3 linked regions of the Arabidopsis thaliana genome follow. The protein of the gene in region 3 interacts with the protein of the main gene of each other region in a pairwise test. Each region holds a gene or a part of one and is shown on either strand. Other genes may lie near its edges. The genes, in order: AT1G21200, AT4G36590 and AT2G12646.

Region 1 (10,894 bases), on a different chromosome or scaffold from region 3:
GTTATAAAACACAACGATTGATGATCTGGCGAAACAAGAATGTCTCAAGCTTTTGATTATTATCTTTTTTATTTACAGGGTTTTATTAGATGTTTACTATGAGTATGATGCGGGAAGAAACCTGATCATATCGAACGGAATGTGGCCAACAGTGAGAGTTGGATGGAGATATCAGCGGCCTGCTTCAATGTCCAGTATTGCTACATTCCTGATACTATCATAGCCAATGCTGCTGCTGGTTTCGCCTTGTGCTGATAATTTTTGAACACCAACCAAGTGCTCAGTATCCTCCTGTTCAGGATACTCATCTGACCACTTATGTTTGGTTTTTGTGACTCTCAAGGCCTCAAGCTCTGCAGCTACTTCCTTCATCCCTGGCCTTTCTTCTCCCGTCAATCTTGTACACTCAACAGCAATTCTTGCAGCTTTCTGGATCTCCCTCTGATTATTCTCGTTCATCACTTGGCCATCAATAATCTCGTGCAACCTATTCTCTTTCGTGGCTGAGGCAAAGTAACTCACTATATGTTTTGAAGTCTGTGGCCTTTCAAAGCACAATGCCTTTTGACCTGATAACAGTTCCATTAGGACTACCCCAAAGCTATAAACATCGCTCTTTTCGTTTAGCAACCCTGTGTTGTAATATTCTGGGTCTAGGTAACCTAGAGTTCCTTGCACCATAGTTGCGAGGTCTTCTTTATCCATTGGTATCAGCCTTGAAGCACCAAAGTCAGCTACTTTTGCAGTTAAGTTTTCATCCAGAAGAATATTTGCAGTTTTGATATCGCGATGGATGATTGGTATAGAAGCAGAGGAGTGAAGATAAGCAAGAGTTCCAGCTATTTCTACAGCCATTCTCAAACGATGTTCCCATGTTAGAGAAGAATCAAACATAGAACCGTGTAAGTGATCGAAAAGGGTCCCACTGGAAATGAACTCATAGACCAACAAGGGAACTTCAGTCTCTAGACAGCAGCCCAAGAGCTTGACCACGTTCCTATGGTTGATTTGTGAAAGCACAAGCACTTCATTGATGAACTGCTCTACTTGGCTATTGTCTCCAAGCCGAGCTTTCTTTATAGCAACTATGGAGTTGTCCGGTAATATACCTTTGTAGACTGTTCCTTGGCCTCCCTGGCCCAAGATTCTGTTCTCATCATAACCATCAGTTGCTTCCTTCATTCCTTCCTCAGTGAAGATTTTGACATCAACATTTGATGGCCCTGCTCCTGAGAGTCGCTGCATCAACATGCCGCCACCATTTTGCTCGAAGAATTGTTGTCGGAGCTCGGTGTCCTTGGTGTTCTTCATTTTATGTTCTATACAGCTAATGGCAAGCAGAATGACCAAGAAGCCGATAGTGGTTCCTGGTTATATCACAATGATTAGAGTAAGTTGTTTCAGAAAAGAAAGAATAGAGAATCAGTGAGAGAGGTGCTTACCAAGAACAATTGTAGTCCATTCAACGTATTCAGGATTGCCTTTAGGTTTGCAGGTATTAGTGGTGGTATTTAATTCGTAACGAGATCGACAATTACAACGGAAGTGTCCCAACTTGTTTTCACAGGTGCTGTCACCCGAGCAGTTATGTTTATGGATAGGATTAGCAGTAGTACACTCATTGATGTCTGGCCCAAGTTAAAAAAAAAGACTCAAGATCCAACAAGAAATGTATGAGGAAAACAATTAACTGAAGTGATAGAAAGAAAACAAGTTGTGAAGTACCTTGGCAACCGTTTTGAAGATATGGATTCCCCTGGAAACCTCCTTTGCATTTGCATGTATACCCGATCCCACTAGCAGAATTGGAACATATGCCATTCACACCGCATTTCTTTTCTCCAACTTGCCCACATGTCTCTCCCCTAATAGACCAATCCAAGACCACAGGAAACCCCACATTCCTATTCTGCAGATAAGAATATTTGTCCGAAGCATTGTACTTAAACTTGCCATTTTCAACGAGAAAGGCGTAGATGCATTGACCCTCAGAGATAGGTTGCACTGACGTGTCGTTGTCAAAGCGATATGATCTGACTATTAACCAATTGTTCCCTGCAGGGACGGGGTTCTGGCAGCAGCCTTCACCATTACATTCTCCATTTGCTTCATGGGAAAGAGCATCACATGCTGATATGCATCCAACTGAGTTTCTTCGAGTTCCATTAGAGGACACAAAAGCGTACGAGTTACAGCCTAATGCAGTAATCGTGTTGTTGCCGGAGAGAGTCAAATTACCTAGATTACTCCAGTAGTAAGTCCCTTTAGCGAACTTTCCTTTGCTGTTGTAGCAAATGTAGGATGCAGGATATAGGACGCGTAACTGGCTGCTGTGAGATATTTCGACCACTTCAAGGCCCTTATAGAATAGATTCTCGTTCACACAACTGAGATTGAAACTAGGATCTTCGGCACGCCAACAACCTGGAGAAAAGCCAAAAGGGTACTCAAGTGTAACGTTGCCACATTTTTCGGGGCAACGAGGCAAGGTTTGCCCCTTGACCAGCTGCATATAAGAGAGGCAGAAAATAGCTACTAAGAACAGACGCTGCACTTTCATCTTCTTTATTTATTTTCTCTCCAAACTTGATCTTTACGCAGGGCTCTTCATCATATCATCTATTTAATTTCGGAGAACAATTCTCATTTCACCTTCTAGTTTGCTTCCTAAATCTACAATACTATAATCCATTGTCCAATAACAAAGCTAAGACATTTTCTACTTTATTACAAGGGGGCGTTGAAGTATGCTTCATATGCCATATAATATCTCAACGTCTACGTTTGCTTCACTTTAACAATTTGTTTTTTTTTTTCTGACGGAGTCAAATACCATAACGGTTGGTAACTTGTACAAGAAAACACCAAATGGAAAGAATACGTAATATAGAATAGAGACCCATTTAACAATAACGAAACAGCCATTTGATCTCTCGTCAACTCGAGTCTTTGTCAATATTACCTTTTTTTAACATTGATTATCACATCAAACTGTTTTTTTTTTTTTTTTTAATGTATATGATAGTTAAACTTAAACCACCTCTGGAAGAGACTTGATTACTAACCATAACACGCTCTGTTTTATTTTGAGGTTTACTTTAGTTTGCAAGTCAGTTTGGTGTGGGAGCCGCTCAAAGAGATAGTGAAAGCTTGAAATGCAGAGAGTGGATACAGAATTCCTACCTTGGCAGGGTCAGACTTATCCAGCTAAGCTGGATTTGTGGTTGGTTCGCTACAAACAGGTGTAAGTTGTTGACCAATGCAATTGTTACACGTCTCCAGCACTGCAGCTGCTCATGACTTGATATGCTATCAGCGTGAATGGGGATCACATACTCGGTGTAAAGAGTTCTTCTTCTGGTGCATTTTTGCGTATTGAAGCAACAAAGCATAAACACCAAGGCAGATACTAGAGTTCCTTCCCTTGTGGTTCCGGCTCCAACCTCAGGAAATGAAAATTTTCATGCTACGCCTTGATTGACTTCTTATATTCTCCATGCTAGGAAATTAAAATTTTCAAGGTTTTAATTGCACAGGTGTATGAAGCAGCGAGTCAAAGACGTTTACACATAACCTGCAGACCAAAAAATATGAGTTTGTTTCAAATTTAGAGTTTTCTGGATACTTAAAAGTTAATATCGAAGAAGCCCTCTCTTTGTTAGTAACTAATAAGTATCCAGAAAACTCTAATTTGAAAAAAACAGAAAGGAAAGAAGCTTCTCATCACTAACCAGCCAAAAAATGAAACACAAAAACTGAAAAGAAGCGCAAGCATGAGATGGACCTAAAGCAGGCAAACATAACATGCTTTTTAGTCAGAAACATCTTTACATTTATGTTGAAAGAGACAAAAGAAGAACATGTGACTGCAAACTGAAAGAAACCTTTAGAATATAGCTTCAAGATTCTTCAGGAAAACTCAATATCGTCAAACTGATTCATTTTCCACTAAAGGAGATGTGATGTGATCCAAAGTATAAACTGCTAAAGGTTATCTGGATCCACGTCCAATAGAAAATATGTATTAAGGTTCCATGTCGAAAAGTATTCAATCTTCTTAGAAGCAAATAGTTAGCAACAACTCATTCTCAAACTGGCTTAACAATGAGATATTTGTTACACATTGGATTAAGATGTCGAAAACAATACAGCAGAACAATGAAAATAACCTTAACCAGTTGAGTACTGAGAAGTAGAGTTAAAACAAACCTTAGAGAGCTGCTTATATTAACCACTCCTTTCTCACTACATTCACAAACTTCATCACTGATGCAACCACAAAGATCTCTCACATCAAAGTCTCGAGATCATTCCAATCAAAGCAAGCTTACAAAAGCAGAAAATGAGACTTCATTTAGCAAAGCTATATACCAATCAAGAGAAGTGAAGCCAATTCCGTTATAATTCAACACCCAATTCCCTTTGTTTCAACTCCAATCCCATCCGATCATTCTCAAGTTTCATCCTTTCATTCTCCATTCTCATTCTCTCGAGTTCTTGATCCCTTTTCTTGCTAAACCTCTGCCACCTGAATCTCTGTTTCTCCAATTCCAGCAATTCAACTTGGATCTGAAGCTTCTGCTCTTCTAGCTGGAGAGTCCGCGACTCCATCCACTGCTTCTGCACCGAACCTGCTCTTCCACTCTCCGCCCCACCTTGATTCACATCAGCTTGAGAAAACGGTATTTGAGGTAAAGAGACTTTATTACACTCCAGAGAATTCACATGACTCGGATGATCTCCATCTTCATGGCTAAGGCTTGGTCTTATCTTCTTCAAAGGACCACCACCACCTCCATAATGATTTACCCTACAATCTCCATACGCATAATGTTGCTCCTCATACTCATCATGTTCATCACCATCACCATCATGATCCTCATCATCAAGATCCTCCATTTGATGTTTCCTAGAATCATCATTATCATGATCATCTCTGCTTCTAAGCGCCAACTGTAACGAACGCTGCAAAGCAAGGTCATGAGGCAAATGCAACCTATTCCCATTATGATACGAACACATCTCTTCATAAAAAAGATGTTTAGAACTCATAATCTTCCTAACATCATCCTTCTCTTTATCATTCAAGTAACCAATCGAATCCAAAAGCGCAGGATTCTCAACAACTTGACAAGATGTTCCTCTACCAAGCATATCATTAAGCTTCTTATACCGTTTATTCAAATCATTGAACTTATCCTCACATTGCTGCGGCGAAACATGATAACCTCTCTCAGCCATAACTTTAGAAACAGATTTCCACTTCCCTTTCTTCTGCAAAACAGCAAACTTTCTTCTACTACTACTATCTATACTCGAATCATCTCCTATATAAGAAACAGCAGTAATCAACAACTTCACCATCTTATCAGTCCATTTCACTCGTTGCCATGGAGATCCTTTAGTTGATCTATTAGCTTCATTATGAACACCATCACCACCTTCCTCTGTGAAACTTGGTTCATCATCATCACTCACTGAATTCTTCTCTCTTTCAGCTTTCTGTTGCTCAGACATAGACATGTTCTGATTCTGATGATGATCACAGGTTTGACCTGTAACCATAGTAAAGGGAAGACCTTCATGAAGTGGTCTAGAATTAGGATTGTGTCGATGCTGCTGATTCATGGAGTCTTGGTGATGAACTCTCATAGAACCTTGTAAATCAAATCCTCCATAAGATGAAGCTCCACTACGAACTACACCTCCTTGTGGAAAATTCCCATCCATTTTTGGATCAAATTTCTTCCTAATTCATCAGAGAAATCGAAGAGAAAACAGATCTCAAAAAGTCAAAACCTTTGTCAACAAAATTAGTACTGGATCTTAGGGGAATATTAAAGATCGAAACTTTAGGAGAGAATGAAGCAGAGAGGAATCGGGATGAAGAAAATAAAGCGGTAAATATATGAGAGATGAGTCAAAGGAAGTAAAACTCACAGAAAAAAGTTTGCTTTCGTCTTCTCCGGTCAGCTTCCTCAGGTTTCTCTTCTCTCTCTGTATATGACAAAAGGCTTTTTGATTAAAACAACCAATATAAAGATTATAGTAAATTTAGTGTAATGAAATGACCAATTGATACCTTGTGATTGGACTTAATATAGTTAAGTTCCACTAACCATGATTTATTTGCATTAGATGATTTATTATCTTCATAATACTTCGACGAAAAAAAAAAAAAGAGCTAACCATATTGGGCCGATATGAGAGCCCAAAAACATAGTAAAAGGCCGAATCGTAAGATGTTGGTTTGAAGTTTTTAGGGAACCAACGGTGGCGATTGCTTGAGCTCAGTCAGAGAGATATCGCCGAGAGCACTACAATTTCAAAACCCTCGGAGAAGTTATAATCAGAAAATGTCAGTCGAGGAAGACGCCACCGTTAGAGAGCCACTCGATCTGATTCGGTTGAGTATCGAAGAGAGGATCTATGTCAAGCTCCGATCTGACCGTGAACTCCGCGGCAAGCTTCACGTACGTTCTTAACCACTCGGATTCCAGAAACCAGTAACCAGATGTGATCTTTTTCGATTTTGAGCTCCTTTTTGAATTCCTTATTCGTTGAATTTAACACTAGTTTTTATTCTTTTCACAAATATCAAAATTTGGACCCATTTTGTTGAGTTTCAGTTTCGAAAGCCTCAGCGAGAGCTAATTGGCGTAGAAAACCTCATAATCTTGTTAAATTCTAAGACTCTCACTTTTGTTGTTGTTTTTGTGGTGTAGGCTTTTGATCAGCATTTGAATATGATTCTGGGTGATGTTGAAGAGGTTATTACGACTATAGAAATCGACGACGAGACATATGAAGAGATTGTTCGGGTATGTAATTCTCTTAGCTCAATAAGATTTATTAATCTATGTAGGCTTTAGTAGTAAGATAAACGTTTTTGGGTTCAAAATATTTCAGCTATCACAGTATCTATTGTCTATGTCTCTGTTTGAGTTTAAAGGAGAGCTTGATTCATGTAGAAGTTAATAGTGCTGGTTACATAGAGAGTGTTCATTACCAATATAGTAACTCTGTTTAGTTTCTCAAACTTGAATTTTGTTGTTTGCGCTCCAAATGTGATGTGCTAACTTCTCATTAGACTAGTGTAGAATCATATGTTCTTCTCCTGCTGATGTAACTTGCTTCTGTCAGACAACGAAGCGAACGGTACCGTTTCTATTCGTGAGAGGAGATGGAGTGATATTGGTGTCACCGCCTTTGAGGACGACCTAAATGTTCTTGTGTACTGGGATCGGAGTTAACAAATCTGGCGCTGAGTAAAAGCACTTTTTTCTGATTACTTGGCTTTTGAATTTGTAATTGTGTGGTATGTTTTTCTTTGTTGTCAAACATTGAAACCGAATGTAGCATTCGAATCTTGGTAATGGGTGCCTCGTTATAGTAGAATCAGTGTAACATACTTCGTATTGTGACTTTCTTACCGTTTACGATCGGATTTAGTTTCGTTTTCTGGTTTGGTGTAGTTTTCTCTAAAGATTTGTATACTTCCTCAAACTCATTGATTTCGAGCTCTATTATGAATAGTGATTGGTGACATATTTAGATGTGTGTAACCCTAGGAAAGACATTTTGATTAACCAAACCATCAAATTGATTCACAGTACAGGAGGCTGAAAACGCAAACAAGATTGATTTCATGAGAAAAGATTAATGTAATTGTAAGCATGTAAATTTACAGTAAAAAAAAGATTAGTGATGAAATTAAAAGTTTTGAGGTATCTATCGTAAGATATAACTTGTCATGATCACCAACACGCTTCGAGCATAGTAACAATGGAGAAGAGAAGTCTTATCTTCGTCTGGGTCTGGCTTGAACCGGAGAACCCATTGGTTGTGACTCTCTATAGTTTCTGCTTGGAGAATCAGTTGATGTTCTGGAGTAGGCAGCTTTGGCTACTGGTGGCACTGGATCCAACGGAATGGTCTCAATGAAACATGCACTGTTCAAACGGGTCTTCTCTAGCTCCAGTTGAAGCATTCCGCTTGTACATTGCTGTGCAAGAGCCTAAAGCAGCAACAGTAACAAAGCAAACCCGCTTTTAACTGAATGTGCTAGCGGTTTTAAGTATTGAAGATGGTAAATATTAAGTGGTGGTTAATGAAAAATGTTCTTACAAGGAGATCATCTGGGGATACGGATGATTGTTTGTCATCTGAAATTGCATCTTCACTGCCACGTGTTGGTTTCCTTTGATGCCCTCCCGGGTTGTTCTCAACTGTCTCGCTTATACTCTCTATAGCTTTCTCCAACACAGCTCCTTGCAGAGACTTTAGAGACTCGGTTGCATCAACCGTCAAATATGGCTTCAGTATCGTCTCAAAATACTCGAGCTGCATCCACCAGTTTGTGAAAGCAGATCAGCATCACAATTTTTTAACTATTAATCCATTCACTCAAGTAAAACTGAGAAGACAAACAGATTTTACCTCAAGCATCAATTGGCAGAAACCATTTGCATCTATTGAACTCAGGTCGTCAGATCTGTTTTCGTCTAGAAGACTGAGAAAAGTATCAATCAGACCTTCAACCAAAGTGCCAAGAATTTTGTCCAGGAGTGGTTTGGCACCCGCAAATACCTGCAATTATAATTCTTAGTACTAAATTAACGGGCTTTGACCCAATTGTGGTGGTTAGAAGAAATGGTTGTAGAAATTTGAATATCTAATGGTTAGAAGCAATGGTATTACCTCTGCATGGACAGCTACAAGAGTGTGTAACAGCTCAACAGCAGCATCTCGTATGCCCTGAAGTAAAGGTTTAGTTATCGTTTCTTTAGACAAAATGCTAAAATGGTCTATTCATTGGTTCTTCTAAGGCGCAAAAAAAGTGACAACTGAGAGTAAACTTGCTACTTACTTTTACTGGAGGCGCTGCCCCCCACTGAATACCAGAGTCCAGCAGATAATTTGTGGCGGCTGTTCTGATCAAGTTTGCCTAGGTACAAGTGAAATAGATGCAAACTTAGTAGGAATGATTTGAAAACAAACAATCCTTGTTCCATTGTTCAATGGCGGTGCATCAATTCTCTAAGACACAGCGAGAACATTACTAAACTATCAAGCAGATTAATCGTTACCTTAGCAAAAGTGTAATGTTCGAGAACCTTCTCTCCAAGACCAGAGAAAGACATCATTAGATCTTGAAGATCGCTGATGTCTTCATCATTTCTCCTGCAACATTTAAGAGACACAATGATAACCAGTAAATTTTATAACACCATATAGTAATTCTTACGTTTACATTCAAAGTTTTGATTAGGAAAGTTCAGATATTGGAACCAATTATCTTGGTTGAGACATTTAACCATGACTGTGTTTGTCATTCAGACATTGGCATTAATTATCAAGGTTCTGACATCTAAGCATGACTGAGTTTGTCCAACTACTCTGCCGATCGTACCAGTGAATTCAAATAAAAAAGAAACCCACCTAGACTGTAACCAGGTATATTTGTACTTGTTGTAAAGCTCAGAGGCAAGTTCGTCTTTGCAGTAACCTATATTACTTAAGATCATCAACAACTGCCTGTGAGGATCAACAACACTTTCAGGAGCATTGATTGATTGTTCTTCCTGGTGGTCATTGGAGTATCCATTTTGCCAACTCTCTCGCTTTGTAGTGCGTTGAGAAAGGTCAGCACCAATTTGCTCCAAGTGAGCTGATATGTGCAAAAATCAATTAGCATATTAACATAAAAATTTCTTTTTGTCTGCCCACACATTTATGTGGGCATCTATACATGTACTTTCACGGAAGTTTGGTGTAAAAAGCTTACCAGCAAAATCCAGAAAGCAGTTCAAAAAGGCAAGTCTAACAGATATCAGAATTTCTTCAATATGCGCAAACATATCTTCGGATCTAGCAGCTTCACCTTTTAAAGATAGAATCATCCTGGAAAATGTATATACAGAAATTAGCAGCCATATAAGGCAACATCGCTGTTAAAAAACAGAAATTGGTGGTAGACAATTGCATATGCAGTTCTCTGATTGTCTCTGAACTCCATATTTATGGTTCATTTTCTGAGTATCATAATATGACTAGTGATTATGGTCCGAGCAACCAGAATCATAAAAATGGCAATTTGGCAGCTTCCCATTCTTCTCTAACTAGAGAGAGAAGTAGAACATCAAATCCTAGGGTACGGTCTAGCTGGAATCACAGATATCTAGAACTCTTACAGAATAATAGCAAAAAGTTGTAATTATTAAGGTACACAAGGTTAAGTATTTGTATATACAAGTAAGTATGTAACAGGAAGATGCTAGAAACTTACATATTAATTTGTTCCATCCCAGAAACAATAATTGAACGAAATGCAAGGGGCAGGTAAGAGATGGAATATGGAGATCTGTTCCTTTCAAGAATAGAAACTGGAATCCACGTCTCTTCCTTTGATATTTCTTCTGTAGACGCTCTCATCCAAGAGCAGAGCCTTTGGATGTATATTTTAGTGATTTCCACCTTAACTTTTCTTAGTGCCATGACTGCCACAACCAAAGAGTTACATAATCGCAGTATACTTCAACAAAACAACAAGCTCAAGCTTAAGACGAAATTCAAATACCAGCACTATGGGGAGCTGACTCTTTGGCCTCAAAAGCTTGGCATGCTTTTGATACTTCTTTGATTGTATCACTCATATATGGGTGGAGAATGTATGATTCGTCAAAATCATGAAAAGTGCTTTGCACCTACACAAAAAATAATAGAGGAACGAATATTAGAACAAATGCAAGGAACAAACGGCAGGGTTCATTTTTCCAGTATGGCAAAGAAAGATCTATTGATAAAAAATTCAGTAGACAAAAGAGAGGCAAGGAGAAGACCTTTGCTTCATAAACAGAAATGGTATTGCGTATCATCCCAGCAATTTCTTCCA
Region 2 (9,767 bases), on a different chromosome or scaffold from region 3:
CTCGTATATATTCCTGGCACAAAATAGCGACCCATAGTCCCATACTAACAACAATGAAGAACTAAATAAATAAAAATTTGAAAACTAAAAAACCGTAAATGTCTTTCAGTTATTTATAGAAAATACTGCGTTCAAAATCGTTGCAAGTAGAACTAGACAAGAACTAACGTTTTTTTCAAAAAAAAGCATTAAACAAAAGATAATTTTACAGTCAAAGTGATTAAAGTTGTGGATTTTTTTATACGGTGCATGCATAACCATTTATTTCAACTTCGAACTTCATCTTTCAACTAAATGGATGAAATTACAATTATATAAAAAAAAAAATGTTTAGTTTAAAATTATGTAGTATAATTAAGTGGATTAGATTTGTACTTAAAAATATGACAAAAATAGTAGAATATAGCCGATATTTTAAACTTATAAAAATTTCAAGTACGTACGTTCGAATAATCCTTATATCCATAATCCACTAGCTCAAATGGTGTGTTTTTGTTTGATATTCCTGCGAGAATATACTAATCAGTATTTGGTCGTTTTAATAATTTGAATGTGGATTGTGGAATAATTTCTTCTAACTATATTAATTATCTGAAGAACAATTATCTTACGTACCCGTGATCTACACAAACGGAATCTTATAAATATATATCTTTCGTCGCTGAGTGGAGGAGAACAAAACTTAGCAAACTTCAAACATTTTTTTAAAAACCAAAATTTTACACTAATGGTTTAGTCGTGGTTCGAGTTAAGAAAAAAAAGAATCTGTTTAGAACATGGCCCAATAATAGTTCCTATGAAAATATGCTTTTTGATTATTCTCCAAGCAATAATAAGCCCAATTATATTTAGGCCCAGATCTGCTTTTTGATTATTCTCCAAGCAAAGTAAACTTATACGGTCGAGATTTTATTATCATTTTATTTTTTGTCCTTTTGAAAAATACCGTTTAAACCCTAAAAGCTAGCTGCCACCGTGGGTTTATGGTCGGCAAAACCCAGAAATCGACCATCATTCACCGTCAATTTCCCAACTTTCATGAACCTTTAGCTCTATTTCTCAATCTCTGAATAAGGGTCAATCTTTTCTTTTTATCAAAATCGATGGCTGCTTCTAGATTGTGTTCCGCGGCGGCGATAGCTGCTGCGTTCACTTCAATGTCAATGTCTCAGAACCGTGCTTACGCCGATTCTTCTCGATTCCGGTTTCCTTTCTTTTCTTCTTCTCCTTCTCCTCCTCCGTCAGATTCTCCGGCGAATCAATCTTCATCGAAGTCTAAAGCAGAGCCTGATGAGCCTAAAGGATCGGGTTTTGATCCTGAGGCTCTTGAGAGAGCTGCTAAAGCTCTTAGAGATATCAATAGCTCTCCCCATTCCAAGCAGGTGACCCTTCATATCTATTTAGGGAATGAAATTAGGATTTAGCAAAAATGGTATGAAAAAATTGGATTTTGATCTGTGGAGATTGGTCTTTTGGTGATTGCAGAATTGGGGTTTCTTCTTAGCTTATTGGGTTCTTGGTTTTTCAATTAGGTGTTTGATCTCATGAGGAAGCAGGAGAAAACTCGGTTAGCTGAATTAACGGCAGAGACTTCTCATTACGAAGCTATTCAAGCACACAATGATATTGTGAGTAAACTTGAATTTTCCATTTTTTCTGCCATTTTTTTTTATCTGATTCTTGACATGATTGCAAAGTAATATGATTTGTTTTATGGGGCATTTGAAATGGGCAGGGCAGACAGCAGAAATTGGCTGAGGACCAGAGAAATCTTTTGCAGACACAGGCGCAAACCAAAGCGCAAAATCTGCGATATGAGGATGAATTGGCCAGAAAGAGACAGCAGGTTATTCTTTTTTTCTTATGTGTTCTCGTAGATGGATTAATCTTTCTGAAGTATAAAAATCTTACAAATGATTTTGGTTTGGGAGTAATGTAGACAGATCATGAAGCTCAGAGGCATCATAATGTGGAATTGGTTAAGATGCAAGAGGCGTCTTCTATCAGGAAAGAGAAGGCAAAAATCGCCACAGAAGAACAGATCCAAGCTCAGCATCGCCAAACTGAGAAAGAGAGAGCTGAACTTGAGCGAGAGACGATTCGTGTCAAGGCCATGGCTGAAGCTGAAGGTCGGGCTCATGAAGCCAAACTTACTGAAGAGCAAAACAGAAGATTGCTTATGGAAAGGATTAATGGTGAAAGAGAGAAGTGGCTTGCTGCAATCAACACAATGTTCAGTCACATCGAAGGTATGGAAACTGATAAATCAAGAAAAATATATCTTTTTGCTTTTGATTTTGAATAAGGAAAGATCAGTTCTTTTTGTTCCTTTTGCTTACTTCTATATGAAATTGGCAGGGGGATTCAGGACCTTATTAACTGATCGAAATAAGCTGATTATGACTGTTGGAGGAGCTACTGCATTAGCTGCAGGGGTTTATACAACTCGGTATGCATCTCCGAACCAAATAAGCTATTGGATATTATGGGATTCTCTGAACCAGTCTGATTTGACTCAAGTGATCTTAGATTCTTTTATCATTTTCTAATGTAATCTATTTCATGAATCTTTTTGTGTTTGACAGTGAAGGAGCTAGAGTTACATGGGGTTATATTAATAGGATGCTTGGACAACCGTCACTTATTCGAGAATCTTCCATGCGTAGATTTCCATGGACAGGCTCAGTGTCTCAATTTAAGAACAGGATCTCAGGGGCTGCAGCAGCTTCTGCAGCAGAAGGCAAAAAGCCGCTTGATAATGTAATTCTCCATACTTCTTTGAAGAAACGAATCGAGCGTCTCGCTAGAGCTACAGCAAACACCAAATCCCATCAAGCACCATTCCGCAACATGATGTTTTATGGACCTCCTGGTACCGGTAAAACTATGGTGGCAAGGGAAATAGCTCGGAAATCGGTGAGTTATTATCAAAACTATGGTAGTAGCTTTGTTAGTACCGTCTTCATGAGTTCTTAGATACAATTATTTGTTGCAGGGTCTGGATTATGCTATGATGACAGGAGGTGATGTTGCTCCCTTGGGATCACAAGCTGTTACTAAAATCCATCAGATATTTGATTGGGCTAAGAAATCGAACAAAGGCTTACTTCTTTTCATTGATGAAGCCGATGCTTTTCTATGCGAGTAAGATCTCCTTCTCTTCTTTACAAGGATTAGTGGATGTTTTAGCGTTTTAGGTTTTTGACAGTAATATGACAAAAAGATTGCAACTTTTTCTCTTGGTTTCAAGAAAGATGATTCCTTTTTCTTTGCAGGCGTAACAGCACTTACATGAGTGAGGCTCAACGTAGTGCTCTGAACGCTTTGCTCTTCCGAACTGGTGATCAATCTCGGGACATTGTTCTTGTCTTGGCTACAAACAGACGTGGAGATCTCGATAGTGCGGTTACAGACAGGATTGATGAAGTCATTGAGTTCCCACTTCCAGGGGAAGAAGAACGTTTCAAGCTTCTCAATCTCTATCTCAACAAATATCTAAAGATGGGTGATAACAACGAAGACACAAAACCGAAATGGAGTCATTTGTTTAAGAAGCTGTCACAGAAGATTACCGTTGAAGAAGACTTAACTGATAAAGTGATTTCTGAGGCTGCAAAGAAGACAGAAGGATTCTCTGGCCGTGAGATTGCAAAGCTTGTGGCTGGAGTACAAGCTGGAGTGTACGGACGAGCGGATTGTGTTTTGGATTCACAGCTTTTTAAAGAGATTGTTGAATATAAGGTTGAAGAACATCACCGAAGGCATATGCTTGCTTCTGAAGGTTTTCAGCCATTACTCTTCTCTTAGTCATTTGGATTTTGATTATACATGTCATTTACTTGATCAGAAAGAAGAATCTGATTGTTTTAAAATGAGTCCTAAAATTGAATTTTTAGATTAAACATGTTAAAGAGTTTTACAGAATCTTGAAGTCTTACATATGAACACTTCTCGTTGTTAACATTAGATTCATTTCTGTCTGATGAGGGTTTCTTAAAAAATTGTTTTGTTCATTTGTAAATCTGGTTTGATTTCAGTATATAACATTAAGCTTAAATAGCAAAATAAAAATAAAAATATAAGTAAAATTAAAGGATAAATAAATTTATTCTGGATACAAAAATATCCAAAAACAAAGGAAAACAAACGACGAATAAAATGAAAAACCAACCAACTGAAACAAATTAAAAGAAAAAACAAACTTAAGTCTCACAATACAAGAACAATCCTAACAGTAACCATAGCCAAAATAACGCAAATATTGATTAGGATGTTCTTCTAGCTTCAGACTCTAGCTCTGGTTGAAGTTGTAACTTGACATGTAGTTCATGTTGGATATCGGAACGAGAACTCCATCATTGTTGTATCCAAACATTGGTGGTGTATGATTGGGAAACACCATGTTTGGATTATAGTTGAATGCATTTCTTCTTTGATCAAAAAGATCAATGCCAACATTACCACCACCAATCACGCCAGAACTTTGACCAAAGTAATTCTGCGAAACATTTACTTGAGAATATTGAGACATTTCTCTTACCAGTTTCTTTTTCACATCTTGAAGAGCAGATATCAGCTGGTTGGTTTCATTCATGTCGAGATCTTTCACATCTTTTTCATACCAGTTTCCTACTTGTTCTCTGGATTCTTTCAATAGGTCCAAAACCATTCTCTTCTGTTTCTCCTTTTCCTGGTTTGCCAGCACCTGCAATGAGATTCATTTCATCATGTTGTGAAAAAAACGAGATATGGTTTATATATTTGAACATTTTGAAGAAAACAATCTAACTATGGATACCATTTGATATCTTTAACAATCTAACTATGGATACGATTTGAAAACAATCTAACTATTGATGGTCTCTTTTTCCCTTAACAAATTAAGTTATAGACATAGAATTGGCATATATATATATATATATATATATATATATATATATATATATATATATATATATATATATAATTCTCTTGCATTTTTCTTTAAAACAAAATTGTTTACCTCAGTGAGTATATTGTTGAGATATTGGATATTTCTATCCGGACGGGTTTCAACAAGTTGGAGATTGTTGTTCTGATGATGGACAATGGCAGAATTATGGTTAGGATTCGAAAAGCGATGAATGAGTTCTTGAACACTTGGATGGCCAAAAGAAAACACTTTCCCACCAGGAGAGAACACAATCAACAGAATCTCTGCACCACTTAATGTGCAAAGTTCACTAGCTTTTTTGAAAAGACCGAATCTTCTTTTTGAGAAAGTAACCTGAAGGTTGCTTTCGTTTTCCATTTTTTTCATCTCTATTTTCTGACGACCTTTGGTACTTCTCACCATTTTCTCAAAAATTTGAATAAACAAATGACAAATTTGATGCTAAGAAATAAAATATGTTCTTTATATTTATACAGGTGTATTACATATGGAAATGTAATACATTATAGGTCCATTATAAGTAAACATAATCCTTCAACCCTTAATTTTGCCAAAAAATTAATTTTCCAATTTGAGGAATATTTCATAATTATCTCTGAAATTTCTTAAGGACATAATTATCTCTAAAATTTCTTAAGGATATAAAATTCATGATATTTCAAATGCAATATCATTATATTAGTTGGTAAATGCATAACAGTTTGACAAATGTATGCACCAACTGCCCATGAGAGGCACATTAAAATTTTATGAGCTGTTTGTTAAAATACTTAATCTATATTTTTGGGAAAAATCTTGAACAAAATTATCCATTAAATTATTTGTTTGTATACAGCTAATGCAAGTAATATTTATACAGTAAAACAAAATTTATCTATTTTTGAGATATCACAATCATTACTAGATAAAATATACAGTTGTACTTTACATAATAAAAAAAATTATTAAATGAAATTCAAAAGATTTTGAGTTATGGGCCCAAATTTTTTTAATTTAGATATATACCATTTACTAGATATATTTTTCATAATGATAGTGAGTTATGTTTATTGAAATTAACATTTCTAAGATATAAATAAAATGATTTATACTCAAATATTGTTGATTTTTAACTATCTTTGTTCTTAAATAAAATGTTTGAATATTACAATAATCATTATTGATTCTTATAAATATTTTAAATTATTTTATATAATTGATTTTTTGTGAAAGTTTACACTATCTGACTTATCTTATTAGAAAACTTTGTAATTGTATCGTCAAAACGTTTAAAATTGGTGTCTTCTTCACCTCTCTCACTTTCGGTTGGGCTCATGCTGGGTTTCTTGTTGGGCTTAGTTTTGTTTTTTTATGGTTTAAATCAATTTTCTTGGTTGAACCAAAAAAAAAACAGTTTTCTTTAAAAATGAGATGACAAAAAAAAAACATTGGATTAACTAAGAAAGGTAAAAAAATAAACACTTTCTGATTTACCTTTTTACTGGATTATCCGGTTTGTAACCCTGCTAAGCGCATGGCTTCGGTTTTCTAAACCGGTTATTTTAATCTTTCCAAGTATTGAAACTTCCTCTACGCGACCGGCCACGTGACCTCGGGTCGGGAGACACTAACCCTACAAAATCGAACCACAAGTGGACACGTCGCAAGCACTTCCAGCATAACCGCCTCTTTAATTGCCACGTAAACATCGAATAACCACGTAATCATCGAATAACCACGTGTCTTACAATAACCGCTTATCTAGTGAAAGAAAGGAATGTGATCTCTCCCTCTCTCGCTCATCTATAACTAGAAACTTCCTCCATGAAGATTGGAACCAAGAAACAAAACAAAAAATCGGAATTTTAAAGAATAGGAATAATGGAGAGAAGAACGTTGATGATGATTATGATGCTTACGACGGTGGTGACGCTGACGTGGCAGAAGCAATGCTATGGATGGGGAACGGAGACAGCAGAGGATATGGTTAGAAACGAAGCAGAGCATGCTAAAAACGCAGCCGAGACCGCTAAGAAAATGGCGTCCGATGCGGCTCATGACACAAAGGACAAAACCGCCTCTTGGGCTGGTTGGGTTTCCGACAAAATTTCCACGTAAGCGTTAACTTTTGTTTAGGCATGATCATACTTCTATTTTGGATCTGTGTTGGTTTCTTCTAATGGAACCATCTTCTCATAGTGTTTGATTTCAAATTGTAAACGTAGATCTGAGTTTTGTTTTAAGAGAAATTTGAAATGTATATATATAAACGCATGTTACGCATCATTTGCATTTCAAACTGTGAAGTGATTTAAGAATGATAATATATAGATGATTGATCCAATATTGTAACAGAGGATTGGGAGGCAAGAAAGCTGAGGCAGAAGAAGCGGCTGAATCTGCGAAGAACTACGCTTATGACAAGGCTGGATCCGCCTATGACAATGCGGGTTACGCCAAGGACTTTGCATCAGACAAAGCCGGATCTGCTTACGATAGTGCTCATAACGCAAAACATTATGCTTATGATAAGGCTGGTGATGCAAAAGACATGGCCTACGATAAGACCGGTCAAGCCAAGTACATGGCTTACGACAAAGCAGGATCAGCCTACGAAAAGGCCGGTCAAGCCAAGGACATGGCCTACGACAAGGCGGGTCAAGCTAAAGACATGGCCTACGACAAGGTGGGATCAGCCTACGACAAGGCGGGTCAAGCCAAGGACATGGCCTACGACAAAGCAGGATCAGCATCTGAGAAGGCTGGTCAAGCCAAAGACTTTGCCTATGACAAGGCAGCTCACGCAAAAGACGCTGCCTATAACAAAGCAGAGGATGTGATTAAGATGGCTACGGATACGAGTGGTGAAGCTAAAGATAGTGCGTATGGAACATACGAAAGATTCAAAGAAGGATCTAAGAATGCTAAAGACATTGCATCGGATAAAGCTCACGATGTTAGAGAAACCGCAGGGCGAGCGGTGGACTATGCTAAAGACAAAGCAAATGATGCATACGAATCGGGGAGCGAAGCAGCCGGAAGATTCGACGAGGCAATGCATAAGGTTGGGGAGAGGTATGGTGCAGCTAAGGATTCTATGTCGGAGAACACAAAAGAAGCTTATGAGAGTGCAAAGGAGAAGGCTTCTGATGCTGCTGGTGAGTACGGTTCATATATGAGAGACCGTAGCGCTGAGCTTTAGAACTGAAAAAATTATAACGTATAGCCGTATAGGGTAAGTTTGCATTTAGATTTCAAATCTTCGTTTGTACAATAAATTTCTTATATATATGTGTATATCAGCAGTATATGTATATGTAAGAATGGTGGAGTTGCTTGTATTAGTTGCAAAATCAGATTCTCAATGAAAGGCGAGTTGTTTCTTTACTCTCGATCTATCAACATGGTAGATCATCTTCTTTTGTGTTTTGTTTTTGTTTTCTTATCTTTTGGTTAACAAGATCGGAAGAAAAGGTTAATTGTTTTGTGCCGAGGGAGTGAAACAGAGAGCATTGTTGCGAAACAGAGAAACTGAGTTTTTGCGTTACTTATTGATTTAATGTTGAAGACATTGACATAAAGTACCGAATAATTAAGCTAATACTTAAAGAGTGTGCATGCAATAATGCTCATAATCAAATAGTCTCATAAAGATTAATATTACATATTGTGATCATAGTAAATGACAAAAAGACAAATCAAGTAAAAACAAACCCAATAATTATTCAATCTCGACACAAATGATCCATACATACAGTATATCAGGATCAAATAGAACTTAATGTAGCATTTTAATTTTATCTTCCGAGTGAATAGATGCAAGAAACTTTTTGAGACGCCTATTGTAAACACAAGGTCTTTCCAATTGTACCAAATGGCCTGCCTTCTTTATACTCTCTATTGTTGCGTTCTCACCTATTTGTCTAAAAATCATAACGGCAAAAATTAGGATAACACCAAAAAATCCTTTCAAAATGGCAGAAATTATAAAATTATAATATCTTCAAACTTACTCTTTCATGTCTCTAGCCAATTCGAGATCAAAGATTTGATCACTTTCACCCCACAAGAAATGTATTTTCTGCATACACACATGAAATGCTATTATATAGAGTCTAAATCCTACAAATCATACGGATGTGGACATATGTTCATACGTACCCGTGGGAAATGAGGGATTTGCGCTTCCTTGTTGCTGACCACAACAGCCTCTAACAGTTCAGCTCTTTCTTTTCTGTTGTTAAACATTACCTACCAAGTTCACCAGTAAAGCTTAATTTAGGACCATACGTTCACATTTATTCAACGAAAAACTCTTAGAATATAGTATAATAGAAACTCTAGTTAAATCAATCATTGGTAGACAAGTATAGTGACGAAAAAAACATATGTTACCTAGAAAATAAATACGAGATGTAGTTGAGAGTAGTTGAACAAATTAAGCTAACCTTTGACAAAATAAAATATTTTTAATAGCTAACCTACCAGAAATGTAGATTTATCTAGAATCTATTTTTCGTTACTTACTTCTATTGTATATAATTTTAATTTTTAGGCAACAAATTGGAATTTTAATTTTAAAGTTCCAATTCATTTTCAGTTGATCGAATAGAGGTAAGTATACTTCGCAAGTCCCACCTAACTCACACAATCACTCTTTCTTGGAAACGTGATCCATATGAATATGTCCTTGCGACAGTAAAATATACTAATAATGTGAATTTGTGGAAAAATAAAAAAAAAGAAAGAAAAACTAACATGCTTTCTTACTCCAAAATGTAATCATTTGCTACGGAATTGTTATTTTCACTAAAGGAAAAGAAAATAAATAAATTAACTTTGAGTAGTAATAATC
Region 3 (10,744 bases):
TTCTTTTTCCTTACCTTTTGCTCCAAAATATCTGCTCATCTCCATTGTTGTCCCACTTCATAGAATACCTGAAAAGACTCTAAAATGACTCGAGAAATAACAAAAAGACTCAAAATCCTATATCTAAAACATAGTTAAAGACAGAAAAATAGGGTTATATCAATCGACAAAAACCCGATGGTATTCTGGATTTTGTTCTTTTACCTACAAAAATCACGCCGAAATGCCAAAGTTTTTTTGCTTGACTTCTCTGCATATATATCAACTAACAATCTTATTATCATATAGCTTTAAATATAGAGGTTTCCGCGAATTAATACTTTAAAAATCCTAAAATCATACTCTTAACAGATTGATAAAGGTAACAAAACATTATCACAAATAATAACAAAATATCACAACAAATAGCAACAAATTAATAAAAGTGTCAAAATGTTTTAAAGATTTGAAGAAATGCTTTCATGCCCATGTCCTTCAATCCTCTTTATGATTTAAAAAATGTATTTTGAAATATTTATTAGACCATCTCTATTTGGGAGTTTCTCATGAGAGTTTCTCACTATTAAAAAATTAAAAATAATGAAATGAAAGAGAGAGAGAAAGTGTAGAAAGTTTCTCACTTGAGAAACTCTTATATACTCTCTACAATCCATCATGACATAGCTCTTTTTACCATTGGTTCAATTTTTTTTAACTTTTTTCTTTGCCAAACGTCAATTTCCATTCACTTAATCCTCAAAAGAGGGAAGTTCACACAACTTGAATCTAAGATAATACAAGGAAATAAAGATAGTTGCTTTATGAGTTTTGCAAAGGGATGTTCACTTTTAAAAAAGTTTACAAGGTGTGGTCATAGACGACTATTGAATACGGGCTTCGCGAAATCCTCAAAACATGAAGAAGAAGTACAAGGTGAAAGTTAAGAAGATATAACATACCTTGTTTCTCATCTAAAAGTAAGAAGGTGTTTTAGCCCTTTTTCACTTCTATATGTGCTCCAAAATTTCAACTCAACCTATTTGTTTCAAAACCGATAAAAGTTATTTAAAATAAAAAAAATATTTTATTTAAATATATATATATATGAGAGGTAGAATATAATATTTGATTAAGACTTTGTCTTACTATTTATAGAGAAATTAATTTGTCATGGATTTTAATTGTGGTTTTGTTTTTAATAAATTTGGTCAAACATCGTGGAAATTACATTTGAAAGAATTAATATGCAATAAATGATGATGATGATTATGTTTTTTAAATACATTTGTTTGTGTTTTTATATTTTTATTTTCAATAAATGCAAAGAAATATGTTTTCCACAAAAACATAAACACAATTGCAGTTAATACAATATAATGTAATAAAATATTGATTTATTTTTCTTGGTAATGTAAAAACATATGTTTTCTACTAAAACATAAACGAGATGACAGTTAATACATTATATTGTATTTATATGTAAAGTTATTTTTTGTCAAACATTATAGGAGTTACATTTTATAGAATGAATATGTAATAAATTATGATTATGATTATTATTAAAGTGAAATAAAATATTATATTATCAATAATATTATTATATTGTGTGAATATGAAAATAGTTTATTTAAATTTAAGAGAAATGACAAATGTCGAATGAACAGAGCACCACTTGTGAGTTTTTTAGATCATAAGTTTAGAGGTGGATTGCGCCTACTAAAGGCAAAAATGAAGCTAAATTACACTCCAGACAGCAACCCTAGAAAAAAATCATGAGAAAATAGGACATTCAATTGATGAGTTGTATATCTACACTCTATGCTCTAGTGGAGCCTTCAGAAAGAAAGATGTTCAATGAAGTTTTAACAATCATATGATTTTCGAAATCTCCAAAGAGATCAGGCCAGTGTCATTTCAAATCTTCAATAGATAGACCTTCAACCTTACATCTATGAAAGCTACAAGATCTCACTATACCCTCCACGAAATCCAAAGATTCTAGAGGAGTTAACCCCTATAAAGCAAAAGAAAAAATGTGGTAAATTATTGCTGGATTTGGCTACAAAAGGGCTGACTTTTCTTAATTATCTTTTTCTCAAGATAAGTAACCAAAATAGCTTCATTGAGTTGTACATGTAGACCTTTCTTGATTATGGTTATTGTTAAAAAGAAATAAAATATTATATTGTCAATAATATTATTAGATTGAATGAATATGAAAATAGTATATTTAAGTTTAAGGAAAATGACACATGTTGAATGAATAGAGCACCATTTGTCTGTTTTTTAGATCATAAGTTTTGAGGAACCTTACTTTATTATATAAAATATACGCTATATCTGTAAGATAGCAAAATGTTAACGTAGCTCAATGGTTTAATGTCCTTTATTAGTCCAAAAGGTCTGCATTTTGATTCCCTTGAAATGCTGTTTTTCCTCCTCATTTTCTAGTGTTCAAAACGACATCGTTTTGATATAAAAGAAATTCTAACGAAAACTTAACTCTCTGATTGTTTGGTTGATGGAAACTTAACGACATGTCCTAAATGGTCAAGTTAAACTAAACTTTAAGATTTAAATAGTTTTGAAAGTTCATTTTGTCGTCCTAAATTTAAAAATTTGCGCTTTTTGATATTTTCCCGTTGTAAAGTTTCCATTTATTTATTTAGGAGGGTTTTATACGTGAGACCTTGGCTTAAATATAGTTTTTTTTTTTTGATTAATAAAAGAGAAATTTATTTTTGAACCGCAAAGTTTTTGTTTTCTTAAAAGTACGAATTTTAATTAGGAAAACATTTTTGTTTGGACACACATAAAAAAAAAACAGTTTTGGTTCGGTTGTGGGTTTGTTTTCAGATTTTATAATAGTGAAACCACACAATTAAGAAATTCATTTTACTTCTGTTTTGGTTTAATTTGGTTGGTTGCAGTTGTTTTGCACACCCTTTGGTTCTTTACAAAATTAGGCAAACTATACAATCAAGTCAGAATACTAGACCACGAGAGATCACCCTCGTTGTACTTGCGACTCGCCTTAAAAGTAGTAGAGTATATGTATATGAAACCTTAACAATACGTAAACTTAAGCATTTCTTGTGGTAATGTACCTCAGGATTGGCATTTTGCCAATGACTTTTCTTGTGTTATATCGATAAAGAAAAAGATTGTCCTGGATGGAAATAAAATGAAGAAACTAAATCCATCTCTTTTATTGTGTCTAACATCTAGATAAATTTGGACTTTATCCCCCATCCTATCCTCAAGTACTCTTATTCCAGGCAGTCTTTGTGTTATAACTTTGACTTCTTGGTTTAGAGAGCGGGAGATATGGACATCTCCAATATGTATTTTCATGAATACTACTATGTTATACATAGAGGGATATGAACATAGGTTTTTTTTTCCTCCAAGGCATTTTGAAACCGAACCACACCGACATTTTCATGCCCAGTGAAAGCTTGTAGTGTATATCTACCTCTCTGTTTATATCTCTCACATCTATTATTGATGTGCCTGCGTATGGGACCGCTCGCTTAGCTTCACCTTTGTCTCCTCCCATATATATCCCGGATCGAAAAATGGAGTGCGTAAAACCATTAAGACTCTGTGTTTCTATTATCATCTTGTTTATAAGAAAGTTACGAATCAATACTTAATTTATTTCACAATATTGATAGGATTCTGTCTGATTTTTTCAGAATTAGTTATATTTATTATATTTAACATAAATTACAAATATAAAAATAAATATCAATTTAAAATATATATGTATATATTTATAATATTGTTTTGAGAATCTCGTGGGTTCAAGTTTTAGTATTTTATATATATAAAATGAGTAGAAAAAAATTAGCTCTTATGAAAAAACAATATTAGAACAACATGAAAGATCCCACAGCTCGGAATTAGGAGCCACGTGAGTCACCATCAGAGCTGTCCAAAACAAATCTAATTTCATATTTCAGATTCTCCATATTATTTAATCTGAAACGATAATCTAAGCTATGAAAGCCGAAAATGTACAATTTCATATGTCAAAGACAAATTACATTGACTTCAACCTAGGTTAGATATATATTAAGTGACAAAAGAAATACTTGGCTGAGGCCTTTTAGGGATATTGAGGATACCAGAGTAGAAGAAACATATTATTATGCGATAAGATAATTTTTTTCTTATGAATTTATAAGGTATGCTAAACTAATATCTACGTAAGCAAAATAAAATAAAATAAAAAACTGATTATAAACTTTATTAGAGAGACCGCACGACAAGAATCCATACATGTAACATATAAGACTATATGGTGAAAAGAAACTAATAAAGAAGATTAGAAAACAAAAACAAAGAAGAAAAGAGTACGTTAACAGAGAGGAGATCGTTGAGGAACGCCTTTTCGCCGATTGATGCAAGCAGAAATATCGTCAGGATCCTCCGAAACTTCTTTATAACTATTAGCCGATTTAGCGCAAAGGCAAAAACCAGTCCTTTTTTTCCTCACGACATGGGTGGTGGTTGCGGCATAAGCAGCCGCCGCACCCGCATTGTTGTTATCCGAGGAAGCTGAGGACCAGCTCATGGACTCATCGCCGTCTACCACAGTTGATCGAGGAGTCTCGTAGGCCGCCACTTCATCATCTGTCAGTAAGTCTTGTGGGATGATGTAGTCAGGACCTAGGGTTAGAGTGTGGCATGGCTTGAGGAATGGGGTTATGTCCCTGTAACGTTTCATCACAAAGTCCACCTACATGTATATAAACCAAAACCTTTTATATAATCACATAGATTACTACATGCTCAAAAAGCTTAGATGTTATTCTGAGAACATGATATATTTATTACAAAGTGCAACATTGAAAAGATTTGAAAGTGTGGTGGTTTCTTAAAACACTTAGGGCCAAACCACTAGCTCAAATGATATGGGAGTATTTACAGTATTTATGCACCAAATTTACATAGTTCCAAGTTCCAATGGCAAGGTCAATGATAGACTTATTTATTAAAAAAGTTAGCCTCCCCTTTATAGAATTTCTTCATGTTTTTTTTTTTGTTAAATACATTAGTTCAGAAGGACAAGATTTCAAAATCGAGCCATATACGGGTTATTTAATAAATCCTTTTTTTTTTCTTGAGATTCTCATCTGCGGAAACTAACAAACTTTACGGGTTGAAAACATTTTAAAGGACAGCCAGGTTAGATAACTAAAAAAAAAGTGTGAATATTTTAACCAAAAGTAAAATAAAAAATGTTTTACGTTTGAAAAACAAAAATCAGGGTATTTGGTAGTATACTTGTTGTAGTATCCTGTTGATGTATTCGTATTTCTATTTGTGGACGAGTTAAAAGGGGAACATGTGTTTCTATCATAGAAACGAATCATCTATAAAGTTTAGACTATCACATAATTTAATTATTTTATATATATGCTAAGTGCGAATCATATAGTCAAGTAGAATTGAGTCAAATATTATGTAGAAGTAATATATAGTTAAGATGAAATAACCTTACAACCCAAGGAGCAATGGATATAAGGTTCTTGAAGACTTCGGTCACAAGAAGTGCAATAGTTGCCAGCTCCTTTGAATTGTCTATTTTGTGGTCTCTTCTTGATGAACACCACTTTTGCACTATTTATTGTATAAGCCTATCCACAATTCAACACCCAATCCATTTATATACATATATAGATATGAGATAATACATATATGTATAATAGATTACTTACTTGAACGTTAGAGCAGTCGATGAGTTTCTGAAGATCTTCAAGCCGAACAACGTCGTGATACACATAACGGCGAACTTGAAGGAGTCTATGGAATCTATGAGAGGGTACACAGTGAGGGCAGAGACTGGTGCAACAATCAAGACAACACACGTTCCTCTCGTTCTTCTTCGCCGTCTCATGGTATGGACATCCCACGAAGAACTTCTCTGCGTATAGCGCATCCAACCATGCCGGTTTCTGAATTCCCTACCAAATGATTTACAAAATCTCTAAAATATTTATCTCATAAACAATCTTAAATAAGTAAATAAAACTTCATACCATAATTCAACTGTTTCCTACATCCACCATTAAATCTATAATTAAGTACCAAGGAGCCAAGATGAGGATAAAGGGTACAAATATAAGGAATTCGGTACGATGATTGAGGTAATTTCACTACTTAAGATGGTATAGAATTGAAGAAGTAGTAACCTACCATGAGGACTCAACTGAAAGTCAGCTTTGGGAGATGGAAACTTTTGGCCACTACTCACTACAAAGAGTAATATTAGGAAGAGAAAAAGGATTCTTTAGGGGAGTACTTGATGATAGGATTTATGGAGGATCACAAGGGAGAGAGAAAGAGAGAAAAAAAAAACTTATATTTGATTATTCCTCGGAGATATAACTCTTTTACACATTTTAAATATCATATAAACTTGGTTGTTGTTTATTAGTGTTGGTGAGATGAGAGATAGAGGGAAGAAAAAGAGAGAGAAAGTGAGGAACGTGGGAGCTGTTTCCGTGTCTCCTACTTTAAACATATATTTATTGGGTCATCTCCTTGGCTTAAGAGCTTAATTAGGTTAAACCCTCCGTGAAGAAGAGTCTCTAGTAGCCATCACCAATTTTAATTCCTTATTTCTTCCTCTTATGATCTACCAAATACAAGAGAGAAGGATAGATGTGTTAAGACTCATATTGGTGTTCATTAACCAATTGAGGAAGATACAAAACTAGTATAAACTATTAAGTATCATCGGTCCAAGCATTGTGAATAGAATAGTAATGTATGCTTTGTTAGAAAATAGTTACATAGGCTTGTTGTAGATATTTATATAAGGTTAGTGATTCTTAAATTTAGACATAATAGATTAAATAAACAATGGATATGGATTGACTAGTCAAATTATTGCCTAGTAATACATTACAATAAGTAGTGTTCCAAGTAGAAGCTATGCAATGCAACCTACTTGGGCTAAAGATAAAAATGAACGCGACAAATTTTCGTAATGCAATCCTTACACCCTTTAATTACCGATAGAAATGTTATCTACTAAAAACTCATATATTTTGGTTGAACCAATTTTTAGATTCGTGGAAACTTATACACCGTCAAATTCTTGATGTCGTGGTATTAGTACTAAAAACTTATTTTATGCTTTATTATATAATATTTCAGTCTAATAGGAGTAGAAATGTACAGAGCATATGGTTAATCATAATGGTAGTAATTTATTAATTACAATACCCAAGAAGAAAACATCAAGAAAAAGATTCTTCTGTCTTACGCCAACTTGTTCTATTTAAATGTCATAAACGTCTAAATGGTACCGGTAAAAAAAAAAACAATTAAAATGGTACTTCTTGTTATGGCAGATAATTATATTTTATACGTCACCGTATTAATGTATGTTTATATATTAGCTGTTTAATCAAATTAAGGAATACTACCTTGCAATTTACATTAAAGTTTATCTTACAAATCTTACATCTTCTACTAAATTTTGTTGAAAATTTCAATTCTGCATAAAACAACCGCCAATTATAATTAAACATGCAATGATTTGTATAATTTTAACTTTTGTTTCCGTTTTGGGTAAAATATGTTTGATACAAATTTTTTTAACTTGTTTTATAATTTTTGAAAAATATTTGGGTTTACTTATAGAGGTGAATTCTTTTATTCACCTCCTTTTTCTCTAACCAATCAGAATCTTCCACCAAATAAAAAATATATAAACTCATTTAACTGTAAAATTAACAATAATGATTTTATTATATTTTCTTATTTTTTATTTTAAATAAATACAAATATAAACTTTAAATTCCATAAAAATTTAAAAATATTTCTTTTTTTTAAATGAATCATCATATCAAAAATATATTCCTCAACATGTCCGTCAACATCTACTTAACAATTTTAAAGTACATATTTGCTCATTTGTATGGATATGTTTTTTTTTATTTACTATATCTTAACTTTTTATTTTTGGATAAGAAAATCAAATATGATGTTTAATGCTAATATAAAACATTTGAGCTAATTTCCTAAAACTTCTCTACAAACATAAATATATGATTCTCATTTCACTTTTATTTGATCTTATATTTATATTATTTTGAATTATAATAAAATATTTATTGTTAATAAAATTTTAGATTGTTTCTGGATATATTGTGATTCAAAAGTTTTTAAACAGATATATATTACTCAATCAATGAAATATATTTTTTATGTATAATCTAAAATATAACAAAATTAAATCATTAAAAAAAATTTAATCGATTAAGAAACATTTGCTCATTTATTGTGGGTCGGGTTATAATAAAATGATGCAAAAACAAAGCAAAAATGTTTTTACAAAACCAAATAATATGGAAAACCATATAAAAGATAAAATAATAATGGACAAAAATATTGAAAACTAACCAATAAGAAGCCATACACAATCAATCATAATTTTATAATAAATAACAACAAAAAGTATTATATACAACAATTAATCGGTTTTTTAAAAAGAAGAAATTATTAATCCTGCAGTGTATATTGAATTATATATTTTTAAAATAAAAGTATTATTAAAAAGAAAAATAAGAATATGATGTTTATTTTTAAGGGACGGGATTATATGGTAAGACGGGTTTGGATCGAGGTTAATACATGACAATATATCACAGATAAAATCTTAAAATTAACAATCAAAACACAATTATACAATCTTAAATACGATTTAGTTATAAAAAATCTACCAGGAGTGTAATCAAATTCAAACATAAGTTTCTACCAATAAAACATAAAAAATAAATAATACACCAATGTCATAAGTTTATAACAAAAAAGTATATATATTTATTTCACGGTGTATTTCATACTTATTAATTACTGTCCCAACTATTACCAACAACAAAAATACATTTGTAACATCTTGTTTTATAGATAAAATAATTTATTAAATGGCGACACAAAATGCGATTTTGGGACGGTTACTTTATCATCTTCTTCTCGTCGGTTGGACGACGGTTTCCATCACTTTCGCCGGCGTAGTGGGTGGTTTCTTTTCCACCACTTCTCTGGTTTTCATCCACGTTCGGATCCACGATCTGGCGTGATGCTTCATCAACGGTTGCGTTTATGTGCCTATTTATTGGCAGATCTGCAATTCGACAAATCTCTACAATTTTCAATATCATCTCTGCAAATTTCTATCCTCTTCGCTTCTATCAAAATCTCTCAAAAATTGGTGACAATTTGCGTCGGGCTGTCCAAGACCTCAATTTGGGTGTGAATGACGAACCCATTGCTTTACCTGAAGACATTGTGAACCAAGCTGTCGCAGAAAACCGTTTCATCCTTTTTCGGGCGTCCTGTGATTCCAAGGCGACAAAACCTCCGTTCAATCATCGCTTCTATGCCGCGAATCTGGGGTAAAACCGGACTTGTTCACAGCCGCATAGTGGAGGGTCGGGATTTTCAATTCATTTTCCCAAATGAAGAATCCTTGGAATCAGTTTTGTGTCGAGGTCTGTGGGCTTTCAATGATCAAATGCTGATTCTTCAACGATGGGAGCCCTTGTTGCCGCTCCTCAATTTCATTCCTTTCTGGACCCAAATCAGAGGCATTCCATTCCAATTTCTCAACTGTGGCGTCGTCGAGCACATCGGACGGGCCCTGGGACAAGTGCTGAAAATTGATTTTGATGTAGAGGCTGTGGCGCGGGTGGATTTTGTTCGTGTTCTCGTACATTGGGACATCACTATTTCCGTAAGGTTTCAGAGGAAGTTCCAATTCACTGCGGGTGTTAACACACTTTTCCGGTTCAGATATGAAAGGCTTCGAGGCTTTTCTGAGGTTTGTGGGATGCTGACCCATGACTCAGGGGCCTGTGTTATCGTGAATGGGGGAGAAGAACAAGATGATGATGACGATGAGGATGACCAGGCTCCGCAAGGGCGTAATCAAGGAGTGGTTATTAGAGAGATTAATGATGATGAAGATTTGGAGGGTTTGGAACATGTTGCTGTTAATGTCCAAAACCAGGATGCTGTAAACCAAGATGACAACAATGGTCCGGTTGAGGATGCTGAAGCTGATCTTGCAGATATTGATCCTAACCATGATGCTCTCTTACAATCTGCAAACTCTACAATGTTTCAGGAGGAAGGGAATGCTGGTGGTGAGCTCTTTAACCCTTTTCCATCTTCTGCTAATGACTGCCTTGATATCTCAGGAACCCCTCATTATAATTCTCTACCACCTTGTGCCTACCCTCTGGCTATCATGGACTCTGAGTGTGTGATCAACTTGGCTCCTGACACTACCACAGATCGTGTCAAACGTAAGCGTGACGACGAAGACAACTCTATGGAGATAAAAATTGAGGCGACTGAATCCATGTCTGCGATGAATCAAGACGGATCCCATATGCAAACCATGGAGACCTCCCTACCGTCAACCCGTAAGCGTAACGATTTGGACCTTGGTGTAGGCACAAGCCAGCTGGCGAATATTGTACGGGAGAACAACGATGATAGCATTGAAGTTGATGCAACCACAGTGAGAGGCGCGCTGGGCCCTGAACCACCACTTCCAACATGAGGACAACCTGCTGGAACTGTCGAGGTTTAGGCATTGACCACATAGTTCGACGCTTTAAGGAGATATCTCGACGATATCTCCCGGACATCATATGCCTTTCAGCAACCAAGCAGCAGGATGACGACATTCGGGATAAAGCTTGTGAACTAGGATTTCCCTTTTATGTAACTGTTCCAC

What was found.
Region 1: the proteins of AT2G12646 (region 3) and AT1G21200 interact in a two-hybrid assay, tested with the Arabidopsis thaliana proteins (one large-scale study listed by BioGRID).
Region 2: the proteins of AT2G12646 (region 3) and AT4G36590 interact in a two-hybrid assay, tested with the Arabidopsis thaliana proteins (one large-scale study listed by BioGRID).

Annotation. Positions count from the first base shown.
Region 1 is NC_003070.9:7,416,319-7,427,212, reverse strand, and holds AT1G21200 (sequence-specific DNA binding transcription factor), read right to left. Parts: upstream 6,066-10,894; 5' UTR 5,941-6,065; intron 5,750-5,940; 5' UTR 5,731-5,749; coding exon 4,399-5,730; 3' UTR 4,210-4,398; exon of another isoform or gene 3,817-4,209; intron 3,696-3,816; exon of another isoform or gene 3,602-3,695; intron 3,575-3,601; 3' UTR 3,540-3,574; downstream 1-3,539. Other genes in the region: WAK4 (wall associated kinase 4), read right to left, coding at 172-1,367, 1,443-1,628, 1,726-2,560; LSM3A (Small nuclear ribonucleoprotein family protein), read left to right, coding at 6,357-6,473, 6,726-6,821, 7,144-7,224; SEC5B (Exocyst complex component SEC5), read right to left, coding at 7,802-8,017, 8,128-8,343, 8,440-8,589, 8,701-8,757, 8,870-8,947, 9,090-9,183, 9,442-9,670, 9,788-9,903 and 3 more.
Region 2 is NC_003075.7:17,256,855-17,266,621, forward strand, and holds AT4G36590 (MADS-box transcription factor family protein), read right to left. Parts: upstream 5,374-9,767; 5' UTR 5,336-5,373; coding exon 5,003-5,335; intron 4,706-5,002; coding exon 4,292-4,705; 3' UTR 4,083-4,291; downstream 1-4,082. Other genes in the region: AT4G36580 (AAA-type ATPase family protein), read left to right, coding at 1,104-1,382, 1,533-1,628, 1,736-1,846, 1,940-2,249, 2,359-2,449, 2,586-2,916, 2,996-3,144, 3,276-3,807; AT4G36600 (Late embryogenesis abundant (LEA) protein), read left to right, coding at 6,794-7,026, 7,268-8,114; AT4G36610 (alpha/beta-Hydrolases superfamily protein), read right to left, coding at 8,691-8,835, 8,926-8,993, 9,074-9,163.
Region 3 is NC_003071.7:5,162,837-5,173,580, forward strand, and holds AT2G12646 (PLATZ transcription factor family protein), read right to left. Parts: upstream 6,468-10,744; 5' UTR 6,187-6,467; coding exon 6,184-6,186; exon of another isoform or gene 6,030-6,183; coding exon of another isoform or gene 6,027-6,029; intron 5,952-6,026; coding exon 5,706-5,951; intron 5,625-5,705; coding exon 5,484-5,624; intron 4,724-5,483; coding exon 4,343-4,723; 3' UTR 4,148-4,342; downstream 1-4,147. UniProt on the Arabidopsis thaliana protein: Probable transcription factor that plays a central role in mediating RGF1 hormone peptide signaling leading to the production of reactive oxygen species (ROS) in roots to modulate meristem size and root growth, probably via oxidative post-translational modification of the transcription factor PLETHORA (e.g.